Linked DNA regions of Caenorhabditis elegans. The protein of the gene in region 2 interacts with the protein of the main gene of each other region in a biochemical or structural test. Each region holds a gene or a part of one and is shown on either strand. Other genes may lie near its edges.

Evidence for each region.
Region 1: the proteins of unc-52 (region 2) and dlg-1 form a complex in vitro, tested with the Caenorhabditis elegans proteins (one study listed by BioGRID).

The regions. Positions count from the first base shown.
Region 1 is NC_003284.9:5,478,021-5,485,738, forward strand, and holds dlg-1 (Disks large homolog 1), read left to right. Parts: upstream 1-1,679; 5' UTR 1,680-1,740; coding exon 1,741-1,762; intron 1,763-1,971; exon of another isoform or gene 1,972-2,082; intron 2,083-2,198; exon of another isoform or gene 2,199-2,476; intron 2,477-2,644; coding exon 2,645-2,961; intron 2,962-3,037; coding exon 3,038-3,256; intron 3,257-3,303; coding exon 3,304-3,400; intron 3,401-3,447; coding exon 3,448-3,538; intron 3,539-3,591; coding exon 3,592-3,943; intron 3,944-3,999; coding exon 4,000-4,306; intron 4,307-4,364; coding exon 4,365-4,833; intron 4,834-4,891; coding exon 4,892-5,415; intron 5,416-5,498; coding exon 5,499-5,781; intron 5,782-5,828; coding exon 5,829-5,950; intron 5,951-6,005; coding exon 6,006-6,106; 3' UTR 6,107-6,921; downstream 6,922-7,718. UniProt on the Caenorhabditis elegans protein: Essential multidomain scaffolding protein required for normal development. Recruits channels, receptors and signaling molecules to discrete plasma membrane domains in polarized cells. Required for proper embryonic elongation.
Region 2 is NC_003280.10:14,681,254-14,686,160, reverse strand, and holds the start of unc-52 (Basement membrane-specific heparan sulfate proteoglycan core protein), read left to right. Parts: upstream 1-1,704; 5' UTR 1,705-1,864; coding exon 1,865-2,067; intron 2,068-2,615; coding exon 2,616-2,770; intron 2,771-2,856; coding exon 2,857-3,095; intron 3,096-3,271; coding exon 3,272-3,454; intron 3,455-3,819; coding exon 3,820-3,970; intron 3,971-4,358; coding exon 4,359-4,468; intron 4,469-4,837; coding exon 4,838-4,907. UniProt on the Caenorhabditis elegans protein: Component of an integrin containing attachment complex, which is required for muscle development and maintenance. Probable structural role in myofilament assembly and/or attachment of the myofilament lattice to the cell membrane.

The DNA.
Region 1 (7,718 bases), on a different chromosome or scaffold from region 2:
TTAGACGTTTTGTGTTCCCATTTTAGTCATAAAATCCCAAAAGTACATAAAATCGCTACAGTCAAGGCGCACTAAAAAAACCTTTTTAAAAAAATAGAAAAAAATATGACTTTTTTAATTCCATATTTCGAAATAGTAGTAGAGTATTCGCCTCGCCACAACTTTTTTGGCGCATTTGTTCCCGGCATGTTTTTGGTACAATAGACGACGTTCGCTATCTTCTTCCCGCATGTCGTGACTAATGTCCCGTTGGCTTGTACATGTTGAATATAATTTCACACACACACACACACACACACACAGCGTGACGCATAAGTTAGTGTTGTTTTTTCTATGCTGGCCGGGTCTGTTCCACTTCTCATCTTGACCATTTATGTTTCGACACTGTGATTTGTTTCAAGTCGACTTGTTCCTGTTTTTTGTTCAGTTCTTTGGAAATCAAGTGGCTATTGAAATATATTTTTTGTGAACTCAAATTTGCAGACGTGTCTGTGACCATTAATTTCAAACTATACAATTTTATGGCATTATTTTCTAATAAAACCCCCATTTTGTTTAGATAAAATTGTTAGTGTTCTAATGAAACATACATTTTAGAGCGAAGATAATTTTAACTATTTAACTTAAAGAGACGTGATGGGGTGGTAACAATTTAAAATTTCTGGCTTGTATATATTTTTGGCATCTGTGATAAAGACAAATTGTAGGAATATGTTAATTTAAATAAACTTAATCCAAAATTTTTGGATTTATTTTTCAGGACTCATTATGAAACCTTCCAGGGAGCCAAAACCCTCCGAACTTAATCTCCTTTATTTAAATTCAGAATTTTACAAAATATCCAAAGATAAAAATACCTAATAATAGTTTACTAATTTTTGAATTAGATGACAACCTTTCAAAACAATCGACTCCCCGCTCCTCCTACCAGGTCCCTCTCCGATGGTGCGGTTTGTCGCCTCGCGTCTATAATAAAACCACCGGCGGAGGTGGTTGGTGTCCAATAAACGTTGAAGACCCCCACCGTTTATACCCAAACGCCCTTCTTTTTTACCTCTTCTTCTACTCAAGCATATCTATCAGATCTCTCACACACAGTCTTCCCTTCTGGTAGATACTAATCTAGAGTAAGATGCGACCCGCCCGGAGGAAGACGAGAGGAATATTTATATTTTTCCCCCTCATCCAACCTACTGAATCATACCAATAGTTGGTGGGAATTGCCGAACAAAAAATAAACATATCCATGACTCGACACAAGTGAAATGCGAAACCTAGCGTCTTCCATCTTCTATGTACGGGATATCCTTCTATTTTTCTATCCACGATGGATTATGATTTATGAATCTTCCTAGATTTTTCAAAAAATTTCATTTACTCCTTCCCCTGCTCGTTTTGCTCTGCATCTTGTTTCTATTATTTACATCAAGTTCGCTAAAACAAACTCAATGGCGGCCTGCTTGTGTGTATGTGTGTGTGTGTGTGCGTGTGTTTGCCGTAAATTCTTGTTTCTTTCTGATAAGTTATGTCTTATCGCCGCACAGTTTTTCCTTTTCGTCTTCAATGCCTCCTTCTTACCGAGCTCTGTTTTTAGATTATTAGAAGCATTAAAACCAGTCGTCTATTTCTATTTTCAGTCTCAAAAACTTGTTGATCAATTTAATTTTTTCAATTTTCAGCGACCAGCATCGAAAGAAAACCGATCGGAGTGGGAAGAACGCCTCACCGAAGGAAGGAAGCATGTCCCACGAGTCATCGGAAAGTGAGTTCTAGACATTTAAGTTTCAAACTGTTTCTATTTTGCAAAACGTTCAATGTCCACTAATCTCAATTGTTTGCCACAGTTTTCTCCTAACCAATTATCACCGAACCCATTTCCTACGGTCGCCGTGGTCGTTAAACTCAATGTCACAATGACCAGAATTAGCCAAGGCAACACACCAACTTATGTACATTCTTGCGTTTTCTACGCTCCCCCTTTCCCTGCCTTCTTATGACTTCAATGCGATGATCGCATCTCAACAGTCTTCTTATCACCTCGAAACTGCCAAATACGGCCACCCCGCCTCATGAGGTATTGTGGTGTTGACACTTACACATTTCGATACACATACACATATACGTAATAATTTTGCTATATACGTTTTCGAAAAGTTCACACTACTCGGAGCCTCCTCCTCCTCCCCGCCAGGTGAATGCTTTCTGGCGCGCATGATGGTGAGGATGCGTCTCTGAATGTGCAAACATTATATTTGTATAAGAAGGCGAAGAAGACGCAGTGGGAGGAATAGAAGGCAAAAAGAAAGAGGGCAAAGAGAAAACAATCTGTTTGTGATGGTGTGTGTACGTGTCCGACAGTCCAACCAGGAGTCTCCCCTTTATTCATCGGAGACATCTTTCCGGGGCCAGTCTTGTACATTCCGAAGGGAAAGGGGAGAAAGGAGGGAAAACGAGGGAGATTGCGCATCCTCGCAGGGTGACTCATCGTTATTTGCCGGGATGGGAAAGAAAGCGCATGATAACCTTTTTTGTTGACCATGTTTTGCCGCAAAATGAGTCATCAACCTAGACTTGTTACACTTTGCGACTTGGGATGTGCATAATCCTACAACAATTATAACTGAACATGAAACTGTATTTTCAGAAGCGCATAAAGCGATAGAAAATGTGGAGGACTACTGCCAGACACTGACAAGACACGGCAATGAGGAGCTACGCACAAACCTGGAACGAGTTATCACCACATTCAAATCAAACCTGATGCATTCGTTGCTCGACATTCACGATCTGTACGAGCAGACGCTGCTCAGCGAGCGAAAATCAGATGCAGAGAAAAATATGGAAGTAAGGCGTGTGATTGAGCGACTCGAAGGTGGACCACACTCCTACAACAGTCGTCCGGCTGCGACGACTTCCACGTCGAACTACAACCTTTCAAGCACAACTCCACTTATTTCAGATGTAAGCTCTGCTTTCTTTTTTTCTCTGGATTTGGATTCTAGATTTTTTTAATACTTTATAAAAAAAATTATTTTAGCTGAGAGATCGGGGAGGTTTCTCGTATTTGAACGGCGGAGGCCTTGGAAACGGGCTTGGGAATGGACTTGGAAACGGACTTCTGTCTTCTCCGTACAACTCATCCAGCACTCACTACCTTCATGAGCGTCAACGTCAGACCAGTCATGATGGAACATGGCGGGAAACAACCACAAGAACAGTTGACACTCCAAGTGGTCTTGAAAGACGTGTGGTTGAAGTAAGATAATTTTGGCTCAATATTAGTTTTAATTATCATATATTCAGCATACTGGAGTTATCGATGATCATGGTCGTAAATGGGAGCTTGAGAATATTGTCTTGGAGAAAGGTCACACCGGCCTTGGATTCTCGATTACTGGAGGTATGCGCGTTCAACCGGTATTTATGATGTAACATATCTGATTATAGGTATGGACCAACCAACAGAAGACGGAGATACTTCTATCTATGTCACCAATATTATTGAAGGAGGTGCCGCACTTGCTGATGGGCGTATGAGGTAAAAAACCGCAATTTAAGATGAACAGAACTTTATGGTCATGTTTTTTTTAGAAAGAATGATATTATCACTGCAGTCAACAATACAAACTGTGAAAATGTGAAGCATGAGGTTGCAGTCAACGCATTGAAAAGCTCCGGAAACGTTGTTTCGTTGAGTTTGAAACGGCGTAAAGATGAAGCCTTTCTTCCAATTGGAGGAAACTTTGGCGGGTCGACTTCTTACCTCAGATCAGGAGTCACTCCATCAGTGAGCGCCGGCAACTTGCAACACGCAATTCATTCTCCATCGGCTCCGATTCATCCACCACCGCCACCACCAGTTCATCACGGATCATTGAGCCAATTATCTGTTGGCCAATATCGTTCCACACGACCGAATACATCCGTCATTGATCTGGTTAAGGTTGGCGACATTTTCTCTTTCCAAAGTACAAAAGAATCTATGTGAACTTTTTTTAGGGAGCACGTGGACTTGGTTTCTCTATTGCTGGTGGTCAAGGAAACGAGCACGTTAAAGGAGATACCGATATCTATGTGACGAAAATCATTGAGGAGGGAGCAGCTGAATTAGACGGAAGATTAAGAGTCGGAGATAAGATTCTTGAAGTTGATCATCACTCTTTGATTAACACGACTCATGAAAATGCGGTCAATGTTCTCAAAAACACTGGAAATCGTGTTCGACTTCTTATTCAGCAAGGAACTGGGGCAATTTTCAATGACTCGGCGAGCCAACAATTCATGCCAACTACCCCAATTCTCAGACGTAAGACAATCCCAAGAATCAAAAATAATAATATAGTTTCTAATTAATTTCATTTCAGCTAGCTCCGTTCAAGACTACAACCGCTCTCAAATGGGATCTCAAAGTCATTTGTCTTACGGAGGACCACTGAACACCAGCTACAGTTCACAAGCCCCCATCGCAATTCCACTCGAACCCCGTCCAGTACAACTTGTAAAGGGCCAAAATGGACTTGGATTCAACATTGTTGGCGGAGAAGACAATGAGCCCATCTACATCAGTTTTGTTCTCCCAGGAGGTGTTGCTGATCTTAGTGGAAACGTGAAGACTGGAGACGTTCTTCTTGAAGTGAACGGAGTTGTTTTGAGAAATGCAACCCATAAGGAAGCAGCTGAAGCATTGAGAAACGCTGGAAATCCCGTTTATCTCACTCTTCAGTACAGACCACAAGAGTATCAAATTTTTGAGTCCAAAATTGAGAAGCTGAGAAACGACGTGATTGCTCAATCTAGAATGGGAACTTTGAGCAGAAAGTCTGAATATGTTAGGTAAGAAGATTTGTTTACTTATAAATGTATACATATATCAACGAATAACATCTTTCAGAGCACTTTTCGATTATGATCCATCACGTGAAAACTCTGTTGCTCCCCATAGATCAATGGGATTTAACTATGGTGACATCCTACATATCATCAACTCATCTGACGATGAATGGTGGACAGCTAGAAAAGTTCACGAAAACGGAGAAGAAACAGCTGAAGGAGTGATTCCATCAAAGAAACGTGTCGAGAAGAGAGAACGACTTCGTCGGAAGCAAGTCAACTTCAACTCGGGATCGCAGTCTCTTGGAAGAAACTCGAGCACTACTGGATTGGAAAACCGAAGAGGAAGCCGCAGTCAGCTTTCCTTCTCCAGAAAGTTCCCATTCGTCAAAAGTACCGACCGGCTCAACGATCTTAATGAGGAATCCTCAAATGTAGCTGAAGAGCCAGTGTGGTCCTACCAGGCAGTTGAGCAACAGGCGATCAACTACGTTCGTCCAGTGATCATTCTTGGAGCTCTCAAAGACCGAATCAACGATGAACTTGTCAACCGCGACCCTTCGAAATTCAGTAGCTGCGTTCCACGTAAGTTGTGAAGTTATTAACTACTTTAAAAAAGAGAACATTTCTAAATAGTATGTGCAATATACTCATAATACCCTTTTCAGACACTTCCCGACCACCACGCGAGGGAGAGGTTAACGGACGTGACTACTACTTTGTCAACAAGCACAATATGGAGGAAGATGTCAAGAATAATCTCTTCATTGAAGCGGGACAATTCCAAAACAATCTCTACGGAACTAGCATTCAAAGCGTCCGAGATGTCGCCAACCAAGGAAGACACTGTATTCTGGACGTCAGTGGAAATGCTATCCGACGACTTCAAAGCAATGCCAATATTCAACCAATCTCGATCTTCATCAAGCCCAGCTCTGCACAACAGATTCTGTAAGTTAAATTGTAAAAAGAAGCTTTATCAATCTGCAAAATTTCAGTGAATTGGACAGCCAACTTGCCACCAACCGACAAGACGATCGAGCGATGAGTGGCGAAGAAGCTCAAGCGCAGTATTCCAGATGTCATAGAATTGAGCAAACTTTCGGGGATTTGTTCACGCGTATGTCTTTTTTCCAACCATTATTATCAAATATCTGATTTTTTATTTATTTCAGAAGAAATCTCAAATGTGCACAGCGCGAATGACGTTTTGAGCAAAGTGTACTCCATCATCAGCCGTGAATCGCAGACGCCAATTTGGGTGCCACGTCATTAGATGAAATTGGATATTTTTTAGACAAATAATCGTTTCTTCAAGAAATATGTCTTCTTGAAATTAATTAATATACAGTTTAATTTACCTTAATAATTAGACTACGCCGTGTTGTGATACTTTTTTTTAATCTGAGAAAAGTGATCCTTTGAAAAAACTCTTGATGTCATTTGCTTTATCCTGTTTCCATCCCCATCTTTATTTGTATTTTGTTTAGTACCCCTTCCCTATTATGCATTAATTTACATGACCTTTCCAAGTTCTCAATTCAAGAAACTCTACTACTCGAACTCAGAAACGTGAAAGGCCAATATTTCAATAGTTTTCTGATTCTTTTTTTCTTTTACCTTGCTCATTATTTTCATTTTCAATCATAACTCTCCACAATCACTGCCAGAAAACGGTGAATCGTTTCTACTTTTGTCTCCGAATATTTTACTACGATAGTTTGTACTGCCTGTTTTCTCTACAGCCCATTTTATCTTGAAATTCACCTTACAAATACTTGCATTTTATAATCCGCCCCAGCTTTCCTTCCTTCTTCCCTCTCCTTCCTCCCCCAACTCAATTCACTTCTTACTTGAAATTGTGACAGTTTGTGATATTCTCAACGCTTCATTTGTCTCTACTAACCGCAAATCATTATCATATTCCCGACTCTCTACTGATGAAAAACTTCGGCTCATTTCTATTTTTTGGGACTTTTATTACTCTGAGAGCATTTTATTTTCATCCATTGGTTCCAAACTTTTTTTTTTTAATTATTTTTAAAAACTTTTTATACAAATTATCTTGAATAAAGATTTTATTGCATCTGCAAAACATACATGTGTTGAAGTAACAAGAAAAAACTTTATTTTCAGTATATCAGGGTGTTCTGAAAATGACTGCGGCAATTTGTCATTAAAAATATTCATTTTATTAGATCGCTGGAAAAATTCCGAAACAAAAGGATTTGAAGTACTCTTCAGAATCCGTTTCGAAATGTGCTTCCGTAGCGCAGTAGGCAGCGCGTCAGTCTCATAATCTGAAGGTCGTGAGTTCGAGCCTCACCGGGAGCAATCTTTTTTGCCTAATATATTTCTTCGACTGAAATATTGTTCCTGATATTTTATTAGTCTTTCAATTAACGAAAAAAACATGTATTTTAAACGCAAAATAAGATTAGAATGATTTTAAAATATCAATAATATTTTAATTACTGACTATGAGTTAAATTTGAGATTTTTCAACTAGACTATTTACAGTTGTGATATTTTCAAATCCCTGTCCCACTTGGGATCTCAGTTTTTGCATCCTTTCTCAAGTCCTTTGTGAAGAGTTCACAACGTGCTTCCGTAGCGCAGTAGGCAGCGCGTCAGTCTCATAATCTGAAGGTCGTGAGTTCGAGCCTCACCGGGAGCAATTTTTTTTTTGAAGTTTTCCCAAGTAGCATAAGTTGCCATGAAGAAAACTGTAATTTTAATTTAATTTTTAATTTAACTGTTTAAATTCATTTTTTAATTTGAGTCAAAGCTAGCAATTTATTTTATCTCACATTTTGTTAATTTGAAACACAGACTGGCTCGAATTTAAGAACATTTTTTTATTCTTTTGATCCTACTTTGCAGACGTT
Region 2 (4,907 bases):
TCCTGTTGCGTTTGTTGGGTGGCCCCCTCCTCATTGGGATATGTTTGCCTGCTTTTTTAGTTTAAGTGTGTCTGTATTTTTTTCAAAATGCTTTGTGTTATGGTTTTGTTTGGGCTTAAAAACTTTTTTTTTCGAAAATTGCTAAATTATTTTTGCCATTTTTAAAAAAATTTTATTCACTTTCATATATTTACTCACTGTACTCAAAAAATCATATTTTTTCTCTTGAAAATTTTGTGTTTGTTCCAATTGTTTTTTCCTCTAATTAACTCCCAATTTTTTTCACCAGCTTTCCCCAAAAGATTTGCACTTTTAGATGCAAGAAGTATAGGGATAGTGCGAAAATCAGCAAACAATTCTCCCAGCTCTCCACCAATTTTCCACTCTTTTTCCTCGCCGCTTTTCACCTTTTAACCTACTACCCCCATTCCAAGCAGCTACCGTTCCTCCCTTAAATCGGCTTGAAGACTGTCCAATTGTTGTGTCAATATTTGTGGGGGTACTTTTATATAATCGGAAGGTTTCGACAGTTTTCGCCACCTTCTTTGGTGAGGTGGCGATATCAGTGATTATAAAAGGTATGGGAAAATGAAATATATATAGTCAAAGCTATAACCTCTGGGAGATGATTCTTCCTCTATTTATAAACACTTGAGGATGTGAAAATCGGACGGAAAAGACGAGCCACCAATATGAGGTTTGATGATCGGGGAACTCTCGTCGAGTGATGAGATGACGACGACCTGTGTATGTCGGAAAAGATTTGGGGATATTTTGTTTGGACAGGATATATGATGGTTTGGGCGGGTATTGCAACAAAAACTCTTTTTGCCAAATGAAATCAAAAGTGCACGCGGGCCGGAGCAACTTGAAAAAGGCGAAGCTTTGTACATGGTTTTCACCGCCTTCCTAGAAAAATCCTAGAATTCAGAAATTTGCAATATAGAGTTGTTTTGAATTGAAATTCATGAATTGATCACGAAGTGGCTAGGTTTATTGTATGTACAAAAGTCTTTCGATAAGACTATGGTAGCACACTCAAATGCACTTGACGTGAAACGCCAGGTACTGTGGATTCACTCTGTATCAAGAGAGTGGCCGACAAATTTTATTTTTGGCAGTTGCCAAAATTGAAAATTTTAGGAAAATTGTGGTTTTGCAACTATGTATTCATGCAACATCAACATATTTTATATGTTCTGTTGAATTTTTGTACTTTTCTGGAAATTATGTAGTTTTACATAAAATGAGGACTGCTAGATTTGAAGCTTAAACACACTGGAATTGCTTTAGAAAGTATACATGAGAACTGTATGATTTGGTTACTGTCAGCTAATGGCCAGAAACGCATTAGAATTGGAAATATTTTCTCAAACACCAATGCTACCAAATTTTCTAGCTCTTTTCAAACTTGCACCCCCAATAGCGGCAACCGCGTCTAATATAATAACAATAAGCAAGAAACATGCGAATCTATATTATATATTATGAGACGGTTATATACCATGATACTCCGTCCAACGTGGTGCATGACAAGCTATTCAAGTATGTGAGTGTGTGAGTGAGTGTGAGTGTGTGTGATGTGTTTATGCTAGTTGCGAGACGCGCAGGCGCAACAAGAGAGGCGGCTCTAAAATGCAAATATTTACCTGAGTCAGGAAAGAAATTCAGTTAGAGAAGAAGGAGGGTGGAAGCTTCTCCTAAAAAAGTGGGCGGGGCCTAAGAAGTTGCAACTGTGCCGCTGTGCCTCGCCGCCGCCGACGGTCAGCGCGCGCCTCTGTCTAGCAACCTTCTATCTCCTTACTTTCTTTTTTTAAAACTGACCTACTGCTCATTTATACCCCCCGTCAACTAGTTAGGGGGGATGGCGTTTTCGCTGTTCTCCGTCGTTTCACTGACGGTCATCTACCGGTTGACCATCAACTTTCCCGAACTACCGTACACTCAGGAGTTGAAGAACGTTGAGAGCGATGAGTTCGTGAGCACATCTAGAGATATAGCTCATTCTATTCAAGAGTTGGTCAAGGATCTAGAAGGAAGGCATACAGCTAAGGTTGCCGATTATAAGTGAGTTTTGAGTGAAAAAGGTTATCGACAATTTTGGGCGTTTTTCACTTTTCAAGAAATTCTAAAATTGCTCCCCTAATTTCCACATATTTACTTTTTTGCGGAATCTTAAAATTACAAAATGTCCATCAGTCCGTAATCCAAACCCGTAACTGTTGCCCGTGGGCCATAACCCAGAGTCCGTAATCCGCAAGTTCGGAGACCCGGGTTCCAAAATTGGGAGTCCGGAGTGCAGAGCCCGGAGTCCATCGTCCGGAGAACGGAACCCGAAGCCCGAGGTCCGAAGTCCGAGGTCCGGAGTCCGCGGTCATTCAAAATTCAACAATACTAATTTAGAAGGCATACTTCTGCAGCTTAATTTTAAAAAGTATATATTAAAGTTTTCAAATAATTCTTCCAAATTCCAATGTCATGTTTTCTGATAATTCTTAACAAAAAAAAAACGGTCGCTTCCTCCCACGAGAGAAAGTCAACAATAGAGTATTTTGTGTAAATACATGCGTATGTATGTACATGTGTGTGTACCTATATGTTGTTGTAACTTCCAGATATCACAAAATCATTGGATCTCTTGTCTACGTGGATTTGTACGCTGAAAAAGAGTCACCACTGGTGTCTGATGTGTTGTTGTCCGCGATAAAGTCTGGAAAAATTGGGAACCTTACGGTTTCCGATGAGGGTTTTGAGCTTCATGTTGTAAGAGGTGTGTTGTTGTGTGTTGTTGTGTGTTGTTTTATATGTTAAAATTATTCAGTCGCCTGAAAAATCTTACTTTACCAAAAATTGCAGACTCGTCAATAGCCTGCGCCACCACAGAATTCACATGCCTTGACAAGTCATGCATCCCGGCGGATCAACGTTGTGATGGAAGACGCAACTGTCCAGATGGATCAGATGAGCACAAGGAGCATGGAAAATGCAAGCAGCATCAACCAATCATCCATCAAACTGAGAAAGTTGTCTTCGCTCAGAAACATGGATCCATCCATCTCTCGGCTTCAATTGATAGTTCGGTAGAGGATAATAAGGTTCGTATACACTTTATTTGATTATAAAAAAGTGTCTACATGATTGGAGGCTATGCTTAATTTTCTAATTCCAAGCTATGTTGATAATTAAAAAAAAAGTTTCTTAATTGACTTTTGAATTGAGGTAATGCTCCGAAAAATCTTTTAATATTGTGTAAAACTATTGATTATTCCAGATTGCTTGGTCCAAAGACAGCGTTCTTCTTGGAGTTGGCTCGATGACCTTGGCAGAAGACGGGCGTGTGACGGTTTACAAAAAAGGAGACAAACATCATCTTCATATCATCAACGCCACCGACGCAGATGATGGAACTTATAAAATGATTGTGCAAGGAATAAATGTGGAGGCTGATTTTGAGGTAAGCGTTGGAAAGTGATTCAGGAAATTTGAGAAAAATATTAAGAAAGGGGTTTCCATATATGCTATCATTGATGGTTTGAAACTTCCTTTAAAATTTTAAATTTCCAAAAATATTGGCAAAACTGTAACTGAGAGGTTCAACGACTATTATATTTGCACATGAATTTTTTGGTCCATTTTTTAAAAAATTTTTCTTCTCCGATTTGCATATTTTGATACATTGTGTTTCAACTTAAAGGACTTCAAACAAGTGAAAATATGTTTGAAAATTTCTAAAATCAAAATTTTTCATTATTCCGAAACCGATCAGAACCAATTTCCATTTACAGTATTTTTAGCTATTCATAAAATGTTCAATTTCAGGTCCGCATCACCTCCGACCGTGTCGCCACCGAATCCGACGAATGCCCAAGCGGGGAGCGTGCCTGTAAATCTGGACATTGCCTTCCAGTCGCCCAATTCTGTGATCGCCGAGTTCAATGCCCAGATGGTGATGACGAGGAACATTGCTCTGGTAGGGGGCCTCTTAGTCATAAAATACATTGAACATTTCGTTATAATAGGTGCTAGATACTACCTCGCTCCTTAGAATGTAATAATTGATGTTTTTCATTGTGAGAAAAATACTAGTACCAAAAAATGGAAGATAGATCAATGACTCATTTCCAATAATTTTTAGTTGAAAAGCAGCCAGTAGACCCGGTTATTCCAACAAGGTGAGAGGGGACGAAAAGAGCACACACACACATGTGTGTGTGTGTGCTCGGAGAAACAATAGTTAAACATTTGACCAGCACACTTGTTTTGTTTTTCGCACACTTGTAGGAGAAAATGCTCAAGGAAAAATTGAAAAATTGTGCTCCGTGCTTGAGAAAATCTTTCGTCGACTTGACTTATTACAGAAGTGCAATGCAAATCGAATGAGTTCCGATGCGAGTCCACAAATGTTTGTGTGCCAACTGTCGTCGTCTGTGACGGATGGAAAGATTGCCATGATGGTTCTGATGAAAAGGTAAGGGGTTGGGGAATTTTAAATTCAACAAAGTTGTACTGTGAAACTACAGTAGGGAAATCGTAGGGATACATTGGACCCACAAAAAGACCGCATTTTTGCAATACAGTAGTATTCCAGAGCCTGTATGGATACTCTATAAGATATTACTGTAGATGCACTAAATAATTCAGGAATGGGCGGCAATTGCTGTTCGGCAAATCTGGCAAATCGGCAAATTGCCGGATTGCCGATTTGCCAGAAAAATCGTTTGCCGCACACTCCTGATAAAAGGTGCCTTTATTGCATTTTTTTAGACAATTGGGATTACTCCAGGAGTTTTCAAAGGCAATCTTTAATTTCAAGTTCCTTTAAATTTCAATTTTCCAGAAATGCTCCCATCCACGCAAGACCTACAAACCTCATCATGTCCACCACGTAAAGGTCAACGCAGTTTGCC